2 linked regions of the Struthio camelus genome follow. The protein of the gene in region 1 purifies or fractionates together with the protein of each later gene. This does not show direct contact. Links are inferred from orthologs where the notes say so. Each region holds a gene or a part of one and is shown in the gene's direction. Other genes may lie near its edges. The genes, in order: ANKRD28 and PPP6R2.

The links.
Region 2: the proteins of ANKRD28 (region 1) and PPP6R2 purify together in Homo sapiens (co-immunoprecipitation; 4 studies listed by BioGRID and IntAct, counting the BioPlex papers as one, with this or other methods). This does not show direct contact. The link is inferred for Struthio camelus from reciprocal best matches to the Homo sapiens genes ANKRD28 and PPP6R2.

Annotation. Positions count from the first base shown.
Region 1 is NC_090943.1:40,772,099-40,780,170, reverse strand, and holds the start of ANKRD28 (serine/threonine-protein phosphatase 6 regulatory ankyrin repeat subunit A), read left to right. Parts: upstream 1-4,917; 5' UTR 4,918-6,606; coding exon 6,607-6,723; intron 6,724-7,849; coding exon 7,850-7,933; intron 7,934-8,072. UniProt on the Homo sapiens protein: Regulatory subunit of protein phosphatase 6 (PP6) that may be involved in the recognition of phosphoprotein substrates. Involved in the PP6-mediated dephosphorylation of NFKBIE opposing its degradation in response to TNF-alpha.
Region 2 is NC_090942.1:1,008,247-1,016,135, reverse strand, and holds the start of PPP6R2 (serine/threonine-protein phosphatase 6 regulatory subunit 2), read left to right. Parts: upstream 1-4,870; 5' UTR 4,871-5,024; intron 5,025-7,889. UniProt on the Homo sapiens protein: Regulatory subunit of protein phosphatase 6 (PP6). May function as a scaffolding PP6 subunit. Involved in the PP6-mediated dephosphorylation of NFKBIE opposing its degradation in response to TNF-alpha.

The DNA of each region.
Region 1 (8,072 bases):
GAGAATCTGAACTGAGACTGGAGGACTTTTACTCTGTACGGGCTGTTAGTGTAAGAATAGACTGTTGATTTTGATTACAGGATTGTGCATTGCAAAAGCACAAAAAGAAAACCATAGCCAGTGAAATAAAATTTAGCCTTAATGAAAAGGGAAGACTGTTTTGGGTGACATGCTGGCTAGAAAATCATGGGGAGAGATGCTGTTTGCTCAAATTTCTGTTTTCTTTAAAGAAATAGGACTTTTTATGTTTGTTTTTTTCTGATTTTTTTTTTTTTTAGGAACAGCTGTGCTCAGTTCTCTATCCCCACTTTTTTTTTTTCTCCTTCCCTTGCCTCATAGGACAAGTTGCTGTACTCCATATTTTGGATGTCAAAGGTGTTTTTAAAAAAACTGTTGACTTGTTTTGTGTTATGGTGGTTGTAAAATGCTGTAGATCACTGGAGAAGTTCTCTCCATGCATATTGCTCAATGTATAATATATGCAAAAAGCCTTAAATAGAAACTTGCTAGATTGCTATTTCTGAAGTGTTTTTAAAAATGTTAAGGTTTGATTAAAAATGTACAAAAGAAGTTTATATCTCAAACACAAACATGCATTTTGCACTGGTACTTTTTTTTAATACTGCTTCAGTACAGAAAGGTTAGAATGAATGCCTTCTTTTTTTTTTGTGGTATTTGTATCTCAGATTTTATTGAGATGCCTATTCAGTTACTGGATTTTATTAACCACAGTTTCATGTAATCACATGTTTTGTTTGAATTAATATAGTTCTGTAGATTGTTTCAGTCTATGTACACACGTGAGAGAATAAGAACTAAAATTCATCTCTCCCCCCCTCCCACCCCCCACCTTAGACTTATGGTATCCGTGAGTTCTCTAGGTCGGATAGAGTCAAGCGAAGCTATTTTGCTTGTCCTTGGAAGCAAAAGATACAGTGGAGAGAGCAAAGGTTAAGACTAATCTCTCTCTCACACTTTTTTTCTTTCCTGTATCCCAGCTGTGCATATGATCTGGAATAAATAGAGCAAAACTGGGATAAAGGTATAATTTATTATTGCCTTAAACATGTGGAGTCTCCTTCCCTGGAGATATTCAAAACCCGCCTGGATGTGATTCTGGGCAATGTGCTCTAGCGGACCCTGCTTGAGCAGGGGGGTTGGACTAGATGATCTCCAGAGGTCCCTTCCAACCTCAACCATTCTGTGATTCTCTGATTCCATGATTCCTCTTCCTGACTCCACCTCGTTCCCTCAGGACCAGAGAGGAAAGAGCAGGAGGAGTTCACAAGAGTGAGTCACAAGGCTTCTGGAAGTATTGTAGCTTATATTCATGATGATGCTGAACACTGAACACTGTCCCTGTATGGGACGTGTATATATGGGTAAAACTTCAGTAAATTTACAGAAAAATCTGATTATCCTGGGACATAACCTAACTATTATAAACGATCTTTGTGTTACAGGTTGATCCATAGCTTGGGTCTTTGTCTTGCATGGCTGCGAAACTGTTAAATTTTTTTTTGGTAAGCTTTGCTCAGTTTTAAATGCTTCATTTTTACTGGAACCTAACAGCAGAATTTGCTTCTTTTCCTAGATCCCTGATTATGCAAAATATTGAATGAAACTAGTTGCATTAATCTCAGCCCAGAAAAGACTTTGTAAAAGCTGATTGGCAAGAGAGAAATCTTCATTCGAGTAGGATCATTGATATTGAATGTGCCTCAGTGAGGTTTTCAGTGTCACTGGCAGTCTTGCTTCCGTCCTCTGCTCATCAGTTCCTGACGAAACGGATAGATCTCTAGAAAATGTTACTATTTTTAGCTCCTAAAAAGTTTCTGTTCTTTCTCTCTGTTACTGGACATGCTGCCATCATCCATGTTTTAACCTGTAGGTTGCACTCTTCTGATGTATTCTCTTTATTGTCACCCACAAAAGTCACTTGGAATTTGATTTATTTAAAGACAAGATATTTTTATTTGCAAAAAGCAGTTTGGTCAACACAAGCTGTTTTTCACAAATATACATTCTCACTTTTGTCTGCTTAAAAATTCTCTTTATTCGGTGTCTCGTTGTTGTCCTCTTTAGAATTTGAGAGTTAAGTGTGGAGATCTTGTTTTGTTAACAGTTCACTATTGCAGGGACTCAGTTAGATCACCCCAATAGAAATGATATTCCATTACTAAAGTTAGGCCACTCTTGACTCATCTTTCCTACTACTCCTTTAAGAAGCTTTTTAATATCAGATATGTAGAATTTAATCTGGAAAGGCCTTTGAAGGCTTTATAGATGATAGATGCTGATGACCAGCTGATCTTCAGTTGTTTTAAATGTTACTAAGATAAACTGAAAAGTATGTTTCGAGAGATGCAGTATTCTGTCTTCATAACTTTGTGAGGCTCTGTCATTTAAAAAATTAGTTTGGGAAGAGGGTACTTCAGTTAATTCTCCTGAACGTAGATTGCCTTCCTTCTCTGCTGCTATTATCTTTTCTCCCTCACTGAAAGTTATTAGTTCTCAGATAATCTGCTGGAAAAACAGAAACCTTAGTTTGCTTTCCTTCAGTGAAATTGTGAACGTAAGCTTTTGGCTTTCAGAGTAGCTATTAACAGCTTGTATTTTGCAAATCAAAGGAGACCTTGGACTGTTTTTTGAAGTTGAAAAAAAGAGATGATTAGAGACAATATGACAATATTTTTATTGACTTGAAGACACTACTTTCAATTGGGGGTGGGGAGGGAAGAAGATTGTTCTTTTAAGCATGCAAAATAACCTGGTTTAGTATGCAGTAGGTCAGTAAATTTAGGTGTTCACTCCCAAACCATATTGTATATTTTAAGAGTATTAAAATAGCAAGCACGAGTTAATTGTAAGTTAAAAAGTTCAATGTTTCTAAAATTAGATTGTCCTTTGGGTGTGAAAGTAATTAAATGGCACACTTGTAGTGTGAGTAATTTTTTTTTTTTTTTAATGTCTTCTACTAACATACATGGTTCAGAATGCTATCAAGGTCAATATAATATTGATTTAATTGTGCTAGCTCTCTTTTTAATGTAAGCTGTGGCATACTGGCTTTTAACACTTTTTGCCTATAGAAATGTGACCATTTAAAAATGTAACATACAAGATTGAAGATGTCAACTTGCTTATGGAAATAGTTTATATGTATTTTATTTATAGGTAAGATATCTAGAATAATAATTGGAGTAGATTCAGATGTTCTTAACTCTTCACACTTATTTCACTGTGAAAATTCAGAAGTTCTGTAATTTTTAAATGTATTTCGATCATGAATTGCAAGGATCAAAAATGGACAAGTTTCAGATATGTGAAATTAAACTAAACTGAGCATTATGTAACTAGACTTGTTGCTATGTAATGCTAATTCAAAGTAAAGTCTGGAACTCTTAATGTTTGCTTGCTGTATAAACTTACTGGCTCTGAAAAAGTGCTCATTTCTACTTAACATATGGACTCCGCTAGACTACCATTATCTAACTAACGTACGTGTGTGTGTATATACAAAGATAGCGTGAAAAACATGTTTACACTTTGTAAGTCTACTTTGCTTATAGACTTAAGATGTGATTATTTTTTTTCATAATAATGTTTAGTTATGCAAGTGAACAAGAGTGTCAATTCCTTAGGGTGTTTTTCACAAATAAAAAAAACTAAAAATTCTCTATGGATTGTGGTTGCTGTGTTCCTTTGCACGCAGTAGGATGGTGCAGTAGATGCGCCTGGAGGATGTCCTGGTTTTTATTTAAATTAATTGTACTTTTATTGCGACCAGGAAGGACGTTTAGAGGTACTCATATGAACGTATCATTTCTTTTTAATAAATTGTTGAAGTGCCAGAATAATGCAGTGTAGGGTACCAACCATTGCTTTTTCTTAATTAAGACCAAAAGTATGAAATTATAAAACAACCGGACTCTATATATATATATAGTGATGAATGAGGTACATTCATGAAGATGTGTGTTACTCACATGCTGTAAATCGGAGCATTTGGGAAAGCTGAACCTTACCAGAAGTTTCACAGTGAAACCGAAGCTTGTGCTGCGTTCTGCCAGGCCAGCGACCCTAAGCTCAGGCAGTCTTAGGCTACGTAATATAGGGTTTTTGTAAGTGCAAAAGTGTTATCTGCAGGAAGTGTCAGTAGTTGTTTTTTTTTTTTTTTTTAAAAGAATGTATTATGTTGCAGTGAAGCTATTGCAGACATTATTTTAAAATAGAGGTGATGTGAGCTTTTCCTTTCACTGGGCCTCCAAAGATGGGAATTCAGTTTGTCTATTAATATCCAAGCCATTTAATATACCCTTTAAGTCTTTCTCTCTGCCTGGATGAATATGTGAAACTTGAGTGAGAGTGTTTTGTGGAAGAGTTATAAAATTCTTCAACTTGTTCACCATTGACAAATTATGCTCCTATCAGCTGCTAAAGGACGTTAGCAGAAGTACCTCCACGCTGCGCAGGATGAACAAGAAGCCCTCCCTCTGTTCATGTAACGCTGAAGCATTTCCAGCAACTCTGACAGGATTCATTTACATAATACACCCACAAACCAGCACTGTTTAAGTAGATTCAAGCTGAAATATGTATTCAGCAAGTTGTAGGACTTTATTTTATTCAAATTATACTTGATGTAATTCTTCTTTCAGGCTGAGGGTCTGTTGGTGTCTACTAGTTGCAACAAAACATGGGTTTGGTCATTAATGACTAGCTTTTAATAGTCAACTGATTACTTTTAAGAGAGATTTTACTTTCATTTCATTTTCAGAAGACTTCTGTGGGGAGTTTCTTGTCTTCAAGGAGTTAAGCAAGGATTGTTTTGCTGCTCCGGCCAGTGCCATATGAAAGCAGTTAAAATGCTGGAATTGTTTACCGCCTAAATTGTTGTTAGTCAGCAGAGCCAGTACACCAGATTTCTTTGTGGCTTTTAGTGGAAAATATTAAACAGTCGCTCTTTCTTCAGTTATAGAATTTTTACGTTTTGAGATGAATTAGTCACGGAACTGGCACAAACATTGCCTCTGCAGAGACTGCCCAAAGGGCGCTTTTTTGTTTCTTTTTTTTTCTTTTTCCCTGGAGGAAGTTGCATTGCGCGCGGTAGCTCAGTTCTCGGGTAAGTGTGACATGTGAGCATTACTAGGCGTTTCATCCTGCGAGCCTGCAGTCTGTGCGCTGTCGGCTCCTGCTCAGTTGGAAAGCTGCTGTGGCTGTGGCTTGTGCTCCGCTCCTCCGGTCTCCTAATGACCGATTCAGACAGGCTTTTTTTCTTCTTCTTCTTAAGCTTTGCAAGACTTATCTGCTGATCACATCATTTAATCTGTCAAGGAAAAATTGATAAGCGGAACCTTTAACTGAAGAGGAGAATCAGGTTGGCACAGTGACAGATGTTTGAATAAAGAAGTTGGCTCAGAGAAGATGCACGGAGTCTGATTTTTTTTTTTTTCCTCCTTCCTTTTTTTTTTCCTCTTTCCCTCCTTCCTCTCCCCCTCAATCTGAATGAAGACTATCATGGGAACTGTATTCACATGGTGATCAAAAGAAACACTTGAGTGATGAACTGCTTTTGCAGAAGTCGTCTCAGGCAGTAATCTGAGCTTTTGTGCCGTGGTAGCTAGCTTGTTTTGCTGAAGCGTTCGTTCTGCCTAACGCAGTCCCTGATGGAGAAGCCACAGCTCTTGCCTGCTGAAGGAGAACCGAACACTCTGCGTTGCTTGTGTCACTGATGGAGTAAAGCTGTCTTCGTGGCTGTCATTTGGGGAATCTGGATTAAACAGGCAATGTTATTCAAGGAGTTCCATTGTCCCTGTGGTCTGACTCATCGCATGTAAATGTGCTGCAGCCGTGCTGTACATTGCAGATATTTTTATTGCATGGGAAAGAATTATCATCCTCTGACCATGTTCTGAATAAGTGCTGAGAAGCAGATGCGTTTTTCAGATGGACTGTTTTTGACATTGACAACTGAAGCTGTAGAATTACAGGGTGACTAGAACCGGTGTTATTTTCAGTCACCAGCAAGGCGGCTGCTGTTCATTTGTCAGTGACCTTGCAGGCTCGGGTCTAGCTGCGGCCGTCCCCGTCAGGGCAATTGTTCCCTGCTGCAGGCTGCACAGGCTGGTGTCACGCCGCCCGCAACAATGGCTGCACTGTGCGCCTAACGCTGCGCCGCTCAAGTGGCGGCATTAGCAAAGACAAATTTGCTGGTGAAAGGACAGCTATTTGAGGCGGTGCATTCTGTTCCGATTGAATTGGATCTGGAGATATTTTTATCAGCTTGTTCCACAGTTTCACTGTTGCGGTCTTGATGCGGAGTGAAATTTTATTTAAAAAAAAAAAAAAGAACAACTTTTTTTTTTTAACCATTGTCATGAACGTCTCAGGGTGTTTAAATCTGAACAATGAAGTGCAAGGACGGACTGGAGTGTTCTTTTTTAAATGTTAATACACCGGCAGTAGCACTTGCAAGTTTGTGAGGGTACGTGAAAGAGGTGAAAGTATTTCCTGTATGCTCCGTGTTGTGCTACCGACAGTGGGCTTCCAGAAATATAGTTGCCGGCATTTTTTCGTTTGCTTTTCCTTCCTCAAACGGATCGAATGAGTCGAGTCTGTATTGTTGTTTTGGAGGAGGTGGAAGATGATTCTCCCACGTTTATTTCCAAAATACCTCAGGAAAATATATCTTTACGCCCGTCGCCCTCTGGAAACGCGCTGGTAAGGCATGTCGTCTGTTGGCATATTTCCTGTTCATGCTGCGGTTGCAAGTGCCACTAGTAATTGTCATAAGGCTGACATGAATACGCCTGATGTTGAAACCAGAGGGGAGAGGGTAAAAACTGCCCACGCTGAACAGTGGGGGAAAAGTTGAAGCTTAGTTGTAGAATTAATATTTGCAGGGGCTCCTTCCTTTGCATGTGACTTTACTTGTGGTGCAGCAATAACAAATCTCAACTCCTGCATAGTAGCAAACGATTTCTAGAGGGCCTGGTAAAACTGTGGCTGAAGTAAATGTTTCTCCCCTCACTTCTCTCCCCGTTCCTCAATGGTGTATTTGTGCAGTACCAGTTTAGAAACTGAGGTAATCGTTATATCGCCATCATTTGTTGTGTTTATTTTGAGAACTGATACAGTAGATTGTGTACATGAAGCAACAGCAGTTATAAGCTAAAATGAAAAAAGGGCAGAGGTCATCATATAGACCTAACTTAGATTCAGGTTGTTGCTTCCTAGACACGGTCGACACTGTGGGTGCAGCGCCTTTAATTTCTTTAAATGATTTTACTTTGTCAAGTGCCTGACTAAAATCGTGCGAGCGTATCTCAGCAGCTTTTCTTACTTACTAAGAAATCCTACTATATTTAGTAATACGTGTGTGTGAGTGTGAATTTGTTACCATACTTATCTGATATCAGCACTTTGCTTTCTTACTCTGTAACCAAACAGGTGAAAATTTCTAATAACTTTAGTCACTTGCTAACGTAAAAGGGATTTGTTTACATATATTTTATAGAATCCACAGTACGTGTTAACAAGCTCACTTTATTTTAAGCCTTAATTGTATTATAAGGATTTCTCTTTTCAGCCCTTATAGCTAGCGTTCCAGCCTTTCTGTGGTTGGGGCAATGACCTGAGTATGTTGGTGTGTTGGAGGTTTTTAAAACTTGGAAATCTTTCAGTTCGGTTGTTTCTCATTTTTCATTTCACTGCCTGGGATGTTCTCTTTTGTCCTTGTTTGGTGTTTGTGTGTTATGTATCCAAAAACCATGCATGTGTCGACACAAAGTAAAATGGAATTATACTCTAAGATGTGTTCCTTTTTTTTTTTTCTTCTTCCTTTCAGCCACCTTTGGTTCAAGCTATATTTAATGGAGATCCTGATGAAGTTCGAGCACTAATATTTAAGAAAGAAGATGTTAATTTTCAGGTAAGAACAAATGTCTTTGGCTTTGAATACAAAATTCATTTCATTTTAATACAGCTTTCTACTGTACTAATCACTTTAGACCTTTGCTAATTCAAGAGCTTCTGTTTTAGTGCTTTTATGTAGAAGGCAAAGCAAAGCC
Region 2 (7,889 bases), on another chromosome or scaffold:
CCAGGGCTGTGACCTGTCCCGCCATCCCCAGGGCTGTGACATGTCCCACCAAGCCCTGTCCCCCTCCCCGGGGCTGTGACCTGTCCCACCATCCCCAGGGCTGTGACATGTCCCACCAAGCCCTGTCCCCGTCCCCGGGGCTGTGCCCTGTCCCACCATCCCCAGGGCTGTGACATGTCCCACCAAGCCCTGTCTCCGTCGCGGGGGCTGTGCCCTGTCCTACCATCCCCAGGGCTGTGACATGTCCCACCAAGCCCTGTCCCCGTCCCCGGGGGCTGTGCCCTGTCCTACCATCCCCAGGGCTGTGACATGTCCCACCAAGCCCTGTCCCCATCCCCAGGGCTGTGACCTGCCCTACCATCCCCAGGGCTGTGACATGTCCCACCAAGCCCTGTCCCCGTCCCCGGGGCTGTGCCCTGTCCCACCATCCCCAGGGCTGTGACATGTCCCACCAAGCCCTGTCCCCGTCCCCGGGGGCTGTGCCCTGTCCTACCATCCCCAGGGCTGTGACATGTCCCACCAAGCCCTGTCCCCGTCCCGGGGGCTGTGCCCTGTCCTACCATCCCCAGGGCTGTGACATGTCCCACCAAGCCCTGTCCCCCTCCCCGGGGGCTGTGACCTGTCCCACCATCCCCAGGGCTGTGACATGTCCCACCAAGCCCTGTCCCCGTCCCCGGGGCTGTGCCCTGTCCCACCATCCCCAGGGCTGTGACATGTCCCACCAAGCCCTGTCCCCGTCCTCGGGGGCTGTGCCCTGTCCTACCATCCCCAGGGCTGTGACATGTCCCACCAAGCCCTGTCCCCGTCCCGGGGGCTGTGCCCTGTCCTACCATCCCCAGGGCTGTGACATGTCCCACCAAGCCCTGTCCCCCTCCCCGGGGGCTGTGACCTGTCCCACCATCCCCAGGGCTGTGACATGTCCCACCAAGCCCTGTCCCCGTCCCCGGGGGCTGTGCCCTGTCCCACCATCCCCAGGGCTGTGAGATGTCCCACCAAGCCCTGTCCTACCATCCCCAGGGCTGTGACATGTCCCACCAAGCCCTGTCCCCGTCCCCGGGGGCTGTGCCCTATCCTACCATCCCCAGGGCTGTGACATGTCCCACCAAGCCCTGTCCCCGTCCCCGGGGGCTGTGACCTGTCCCACCATCCCCAGGGCTGTGACATGTCCCACCAAGCCCTGTCCCCGTCCCCGGGGCTGTGACCTGTCCTACCATCCCCAGGGCTGTGACATGTCCCACCAAGCCCTGTCCCCCTCCCCGGGGCTGTGCCCTGTCCCGCCATCCCCAGGGCTGTGACATGTCCCACCAAGCCCTGTCCCCCTCCCCGGGGCTGTGACCTGTCCCGCTATCCCCAGGGCTGTGACATGTCCCACCAAGCCCTGTCCCCGTCCCCGGGGCTGTGCCCTGTCCCACCATCCCCAGGGCTGTGACATTTCCCACCAAGCCCTGTCCCCCTCCCCGGGGGCTGTGCCCTGTCCCACCATCCCCAGGGCTGTGACATGTCCCACCAAGCCCTGTCCCCGTCCCCGGGGGCTGTGACCTGTCCTACCATCCCCAGGGCTGTGACATGTCCCACCAAGCCCTGTCCCCGTCCCGGGGCTGTGACCTGTCCCACCATCCCCAGGGCTGTGACATGTCCCACCAAGCCCTGTCCCCGTCCCCGGGGGCTGTGACCTGTCCCACCATCCCCAGGCTGTGACATGTCCCACCAAGCCCTGTCCCCGTCCCCAGGGGCTGTGACCTGTCCTACCATCCCCAGGGCTGTGACATGTCCCACCAAGCCCTGTCCCCGTCCCCGGGGGCTGTGACCTGTCCCACCATCCCCAGGGCTGTGACATGTCCCACCAAGCCCTGTCCCCGTCCCCGGGGGCTGTGACCTGTCCCACCATCCCCAGGGCTGTGACATGTCCCACCAAGCCCTGTCCTACCATCCCCAGGGCTGTGACATGTCCCACCAAGCCCTGTCCCCATCCCCGGGGGCTGTGACCTGTCCTACCATCCTCAGGGCTGTGACATGTCCCACCAAGCCCTGTCCCCGTCCCCGGGGGCTGTGACCTGTCCCACCATCCCCAGGGCTGTGACATGTCCCACCAAGCCCTGTCCCCGTCCCCGGGGCTGTGCCCTGTCCCACCATCCCCAGGGCTGTGACATGTCCCACCAAGCCCTGTCCCCCTCCCCGGGGCTGTGACCTGTCCCACCATCCCCAGGGCTGTGACATGTCCCACCAAGCCCTGTCCCCCTCCCCGGGGCTGTGACCTGTCCCACCATCCCCAGGGCTGTGACATGTCCCACCAAGCCCTGTCCCTGTCCCCGGGGCTGTGCCCTGTCCCACCATCCCCAGGGCTGTGACATGTCCCACCAAGCCCTGTCCCCGTCCCCGGGGGCTGTGACCTGTCCCACCATCCCCAGGGCTGTGACATGTCCCACCAAGCCCTGTCCCCGTCCCCAGGGGCTGTGACCTGTCCCACCATCCCCAGGGCTGTGACATGTCCCACCAAGCCCTGTCCCCGTCCCGGGGCTGTGCCCTGTCCCACCATCCCCAGGGCTGTGACATGTCCCACCAAGCCCTGTCCCCCTCCCCGGGGGCTGTGACCTGTCCCACCATCCCCAGGGCTGTGACATGTCCCACCAAGCCCTGTCCCCGTCCCCGGGGGCTGTGACCTGTCCCACCATCCCCAGGGCTGTGACATGTCCCACCAAGCCCTGTCCCCGTCCCTGGGGGCTGTGACCTGTCCCACCATCCCCAGGGCTGTGACATGTCCCACCAAGCCCTGTCCCCGTCCCCGGGGCTGTGACCTGTCCCACCATCCCCAGGGCTGTGACATGTCCCACCAAGCCCTGTCCTACCATCCCCAGGGCTGTGACATGTCCCACCAAGCCCTGTCCCCATCCCCGGGGGCTGTGACCTGTCCTACCATCCTCAGGGCTGTGACATGTCCCACCAAGCCCTGTCCCCCTCCCCGGGGGCTGTGACCTGTCCCACCATCCCCAGGGCTGTGACATTTCCCACCAAGCCCTGTCCCCCTCCCCGGGGGCTGTGCCCTGTCCCACCATCCCCAGGGCTGTGACATGTCCCACCAAGCCCTGTCCCCCTCCCCGGGGCTGTGACCTGTCCTACCATCCCCAGGGCTGTGACATGTCCCACCAAGCCCTGTCCCCGTCCCGGGGCTGTGACCTGTCCCACCATCCCCAGGGCTGTGACATGTCCCACCAAGCCCTGTCCCCGTCCCCGGGGGCTGTGACCTGTCCCACCATCCCCAGGCTGTGACATGTCCCACCAAGCCCTGTCCCCGTCCCCAGGGGCTGTGACCTGTCCTACCATCCCCAGGGCTGTGACATGTCCCACCAAGCCCTGTCCCCGTCCCCGGGGGCTGTGACCTGTCCCACCATCCCCAGGGCTGTGACATGTCCCACCAAGCCCTGTCCCCGTCCCCGGGGGCTGTGACCTGTCCCACCATCCCCAGGGTTGTGACATGTCCCACCAAGCCCTGTCCCCGTCCCCGGGGCTGTGACCTGTCCCACCATCCCCAGGGCTGTGACATGTCCCACCAAGCCCTGTCCTACCATCCCCAGGGCTGTGACATGTCCCACCAAGCCCTGTCCCCATCCCCGGGGGCTGTGACCTGTCCTACCATCCTCAGGGCTGTGACATGTCCCACCAAGCCCTGTCCCCGTCCCCGGGGGCTGTGACCTGTCCCACCATCCCCAGGGCTGTGACATGTCCCACCAAGCCCTGTCCCCGTCCCCGGGGGCTGTGACCTGTCCCACCATCCCCAGGGCTGTGACATGTCCCACCAAGCCCTGTCCCCGTCCCCAGGGGCTGTGACCTGTCCTACCATCCCCAGGGCTGTGACATGTCCCACCAAGCCCTGTCCCCGTCCCCGGGGGCTGTGACCTGTCCTACCATCCCCAGGGCTGTGACATGTCCCACCAAGCCCTGTCCCCGTCCCCGGGGCTGTGCCCTGTCCTACCATCCCCAGGGCTGTGACATGTCCCACCAAGCCCTGTCCCCGTCCCCGGGGCTGTGACCTGTCCCTCCATCCCCAGGGCTGTGACATGTCCCACCAAGCCCTGTCCCCGTCCCCGGGGGCTGTGCCCTATCCTACCATCCCCAGGGCTGTGACATGTCCCACCAAGCCCTGTCCCCCTCCCCGGGGCTGTGACCTGTCCCGCCATCCCCAGGACTGTGACATGTCCCACCAAGCCCTGTCCCCGTCCCCGGGGGCTGTGCCCTGTCCCACCATCCCCAGGGCTGTGACATGTCCCACCAAGCCCTGTCCCCCTCCCCGGGGCTGTGACCTGTCCCACCATCCCCAGGGCTGTGACATGTCCCACCAAGCCCTGTCCCCGTCCCCGGGGGCTGTGAGCTGTCTCACCATCCCCAGGGCTGTGACATGTCCCACCAAGCCCTGTCCCCGTCCCCGGGGGCTGTGAGCTGTCTCACCATCCCCAGGGCTGTGACATGTCCCACCAAGCCCTGTCCCCGTCCCCGGGGGCTGTGACCTGTCCCGCCGTCCCCAGGGCTGTGACATGTCCCACCAAGCCCTGTCCCCGTCCCGGGGCTGTGACCTGTCCCACCATCCCCAGGGCTGTGACATGTCCCACCAAGCCCTGTCCTACCATCCCCAGGGCTGTGACATGTCCCACCAAGCCCTGTCCCCCTCCCCGGGGCTGTGACCTGTCCCGCCTTGCCCCGTCCCCGTGGCTGGCTGCTGGCGCCGCCCCCGCCCCGACTCCGCCCCGCCGCCCAGGCCCCGCCCCCGCCCATGTGCCCCCTCGGCCCCGCCCCCCGCCGCGCCCCGCCCTCGGGTAGGCAGGCAGCGCCGCCGCCATTTTGGAGGCAGCCGGAGCGCCCGCCAGCTCGCCGCCGCCTCGCCGCCGCTGTCAGCGCAGCGCAGCCCGGCCGCGGCGCCCCGCGCTCCGCCCGCGGCCCATGCCCTCGGCCCGCCGGCTCTCGCAGCCCAGGCAGCGCACGGCGGCGGCGGCCCCGCCGCCACGGGGACGGCCAGGCCGGACGGCCAGCAGGTGAGACCCGCGGCCGGGCCCGCCGACCGCGCCGCCGCCGAGCTGTCACCGCCGCCGCGGCCCGCGCCGCCGCGGCCCTCCGGGGCCGGAGCCGGGGCGCTCGGCGCGGCCTGCTCCGCTCCACCGGCCGCTTCCTGCTTCCTGCGGCGCGGCGCGGCGCTGGGCCCGGCGCGGAGGCGGTGCGCGGCCTGCCGCCCTGTCAGCGCCGCCGCCGGCCCGGGCCCCGCGGAGCCGCCCGGCCCCGGAGCGCTGCCTGGGCTGGAGGCCGTGTCCGGCTGCGCCTGCTCCGCGTTTTTACTGTATTTATTTGTTTTTGGTCCGGGCGGTGCTGGTCGCCCGGGCCCCTCTTCTTGATTCCGCCTTCGCCGGCCGCTGCGCTGGCCCCTTCCCCGCGCCCTGCCGAAGTTCCCGGGCGTCGCTTGGTGCCGCCTCTGGGGTGAACGGCCCCCGAGGTCGCCCCCCCCCCCCCCCCCCCCCCGGAGCGCGGGGCCCGTCAGGAGTTCGCCGCTGAGCGGGTGCGGTCGGCTGAGGGGGCGCAGCGGCTTCGCCCGTTCCGCGGCCCGCGCGCGGCCGCCGCTTGGCAGCACCCGCGGGGCGGCGGCGGCGCCGCGCACCTGAGCCCAGGGGCCCCGCGGGCTCCGGCCCGGGCGGTCGGTGGAAATAAGGGTCCTGGGCTGGTGGTATTAACGCGCGGAAACTGTGGTAGGAGCTGTAGCCGCAGATCGAATTACTGCGGCACATGATCTTACAGGAAGGCTTTTTCTTGGCCGCTTTAATGGAGGTTTCTTTCCTAATTTGAAGGCCTTGTTTTGTGCTAGCTTTAGAAAAAAACAAAAAACCCCAAAAAACTAGGAAGTGAAAAAGAGAAATTGAGAGAACTTGGAAGGACTTGAGGTATTTTTCCTATCTTGATCTCCTGCTTAAGACTTATTTTTAAGACTGAAGCTTGTTTCCATAGTGTAGTTTATTTTCCCCATCAAAAACATAGAACAGAGTTGTAATTTTTAGACTCAGTCCTGTTATGAGCTACACATGTGTTTGAAGCCAAGCATGTAATCACTAGCTAGCAGACTTTTTTTGATAGAACACTGCTTTAAGAATGACAAGGGAGTAAACATTTATGACTTCTGCTATTACTCTGTCACTTAAAAATATTTTGGCAAACTAGTTACTTTTGGTGGTTTAAAAAAAAAATCCAACAGCTGATAGTATAACAATTTCCATAGCAACTGAGGGTGATAGCATGGTAAGGAAAGTTAAATTTTGGAATATGCAATAGGAACAGATCATGATCTGTACTAGCTTAAGTGGTCCCAGTAAAGACTTGCTCAGGAGAAGGTGAGTGAAGATTGGACATGAAAAAATTGCTTGAAATTGAGAACTTACTTTGTTTTCATGTATTTGACGTGCATATACTTCTGGTGACTTTTATACTTTCTTTGTCTTAAGTTGCAAATTCTGGGACCTAGGACAGTGTCTGATCTAGGAACTGTGGGAATTTGGAGGCACTGCAGAAGCCTTTTGGGAAAAGCTCAGTCTGCAGCAGAATGGTATCAGAGGTGTGGTACAGAAAACAAGTGCTGAGGTTTTGCGAGATTCCTACAGATTTGAAACTTTGAAAAAGTGACTGATGTCGACCGCTTGTTTAGGGGATGGGAGGGAGCACTGAAGCGTCTTCGTTCTTTACCCAATGTTTGATGAATTTATAGTTGTTTGTGGAAGGGACAGGTTGAATTTGTAAGTTCATGGTTGAGAAATGGGAGGATATTGAATCAAAGTGAATAATAAAGAGAAAACTATGATTAAAAATTTACAGTGTTTTTATTCTAACGGTATTCAAGCTTGCTTGTTCTGTGGGCCTAAATTATTTTTAGAAAACTACAGGCTGTTGTCACTAGTGGCATAGGCTGTTAGATGCAGTGCTGCCTTGGGAGGAAAGCTCAAAAACCCTTGCAAGTTGCCTTTTGAAAAGGGGTACCAGGAGAGCTGTTAAGGATAGACAGCCCTTCTGTCTGTGTTTCCCCCTGCCACTTGTGACTCATACTTCATTGGTCATATGGGGAGTCAGCTGGAATGAATTAAATTCTTGCTATCCCCAGTTAGTACAGTCCTGAGCTAGAAGAAGGAATCACTTAGCTGTGTTTCTCTCCTTCCTCCGTAAGGAGACATCCCAGGCTAACTGGCCATATTTTTCCATCCTCCATGGAAGGAGCACTTCCTTCCATATTTTCCCCTGAGTTTTATTGGCCATCAGCTAAAGTGTCAAAAGAGAAACCAAAACTGTTTCCTCCCCTGCCCGCCCCCCCCTCCCCCCCCCAATGCAGTAGGGGATTAGTAGTACCAAACTTCAGTGAAGAAAGGTAATGCATCTGAACAGAGTTGGGCAGGGGAGGAGGTAGGGAAGATGAGCTTTCTTCTTTTCTGTCTCTGCTAATAAGATTTGTAGACCTGTGAGGGTAGAAACTGCTGATTATATGTTAGGGAAAATAGCTTCACACACACACAATCAAGTAGTACGTTTTTTTAACACTGCGGCTTGGAGACTAAAGTGTTAGTGCCTGAAGGGCAGTAACTAGAACAGTGTAATAAGGGCAGCCATAAAAAATGGGTGAACTGGAATGCCAAGAAATAGAAGAGTATCTTGTTATAGTAAACACTTCTGAAACAATAGTAGAATGACAAGAATAACTGGGAAACTTGGATATAAATGGTGCAGGAAAACTAGAGGAGGTCAAGTTGAGAGTAAATCAAGAGCTAAGTAGTTGATGGAATCTTTTGAGAACTTTGAGGTATACTTGTAGGAATTCTTGTTGTTTTGCTAGACCTTAACCCTGCTCTTCTCAATCAGTTTTTCAGTTTTCTTGA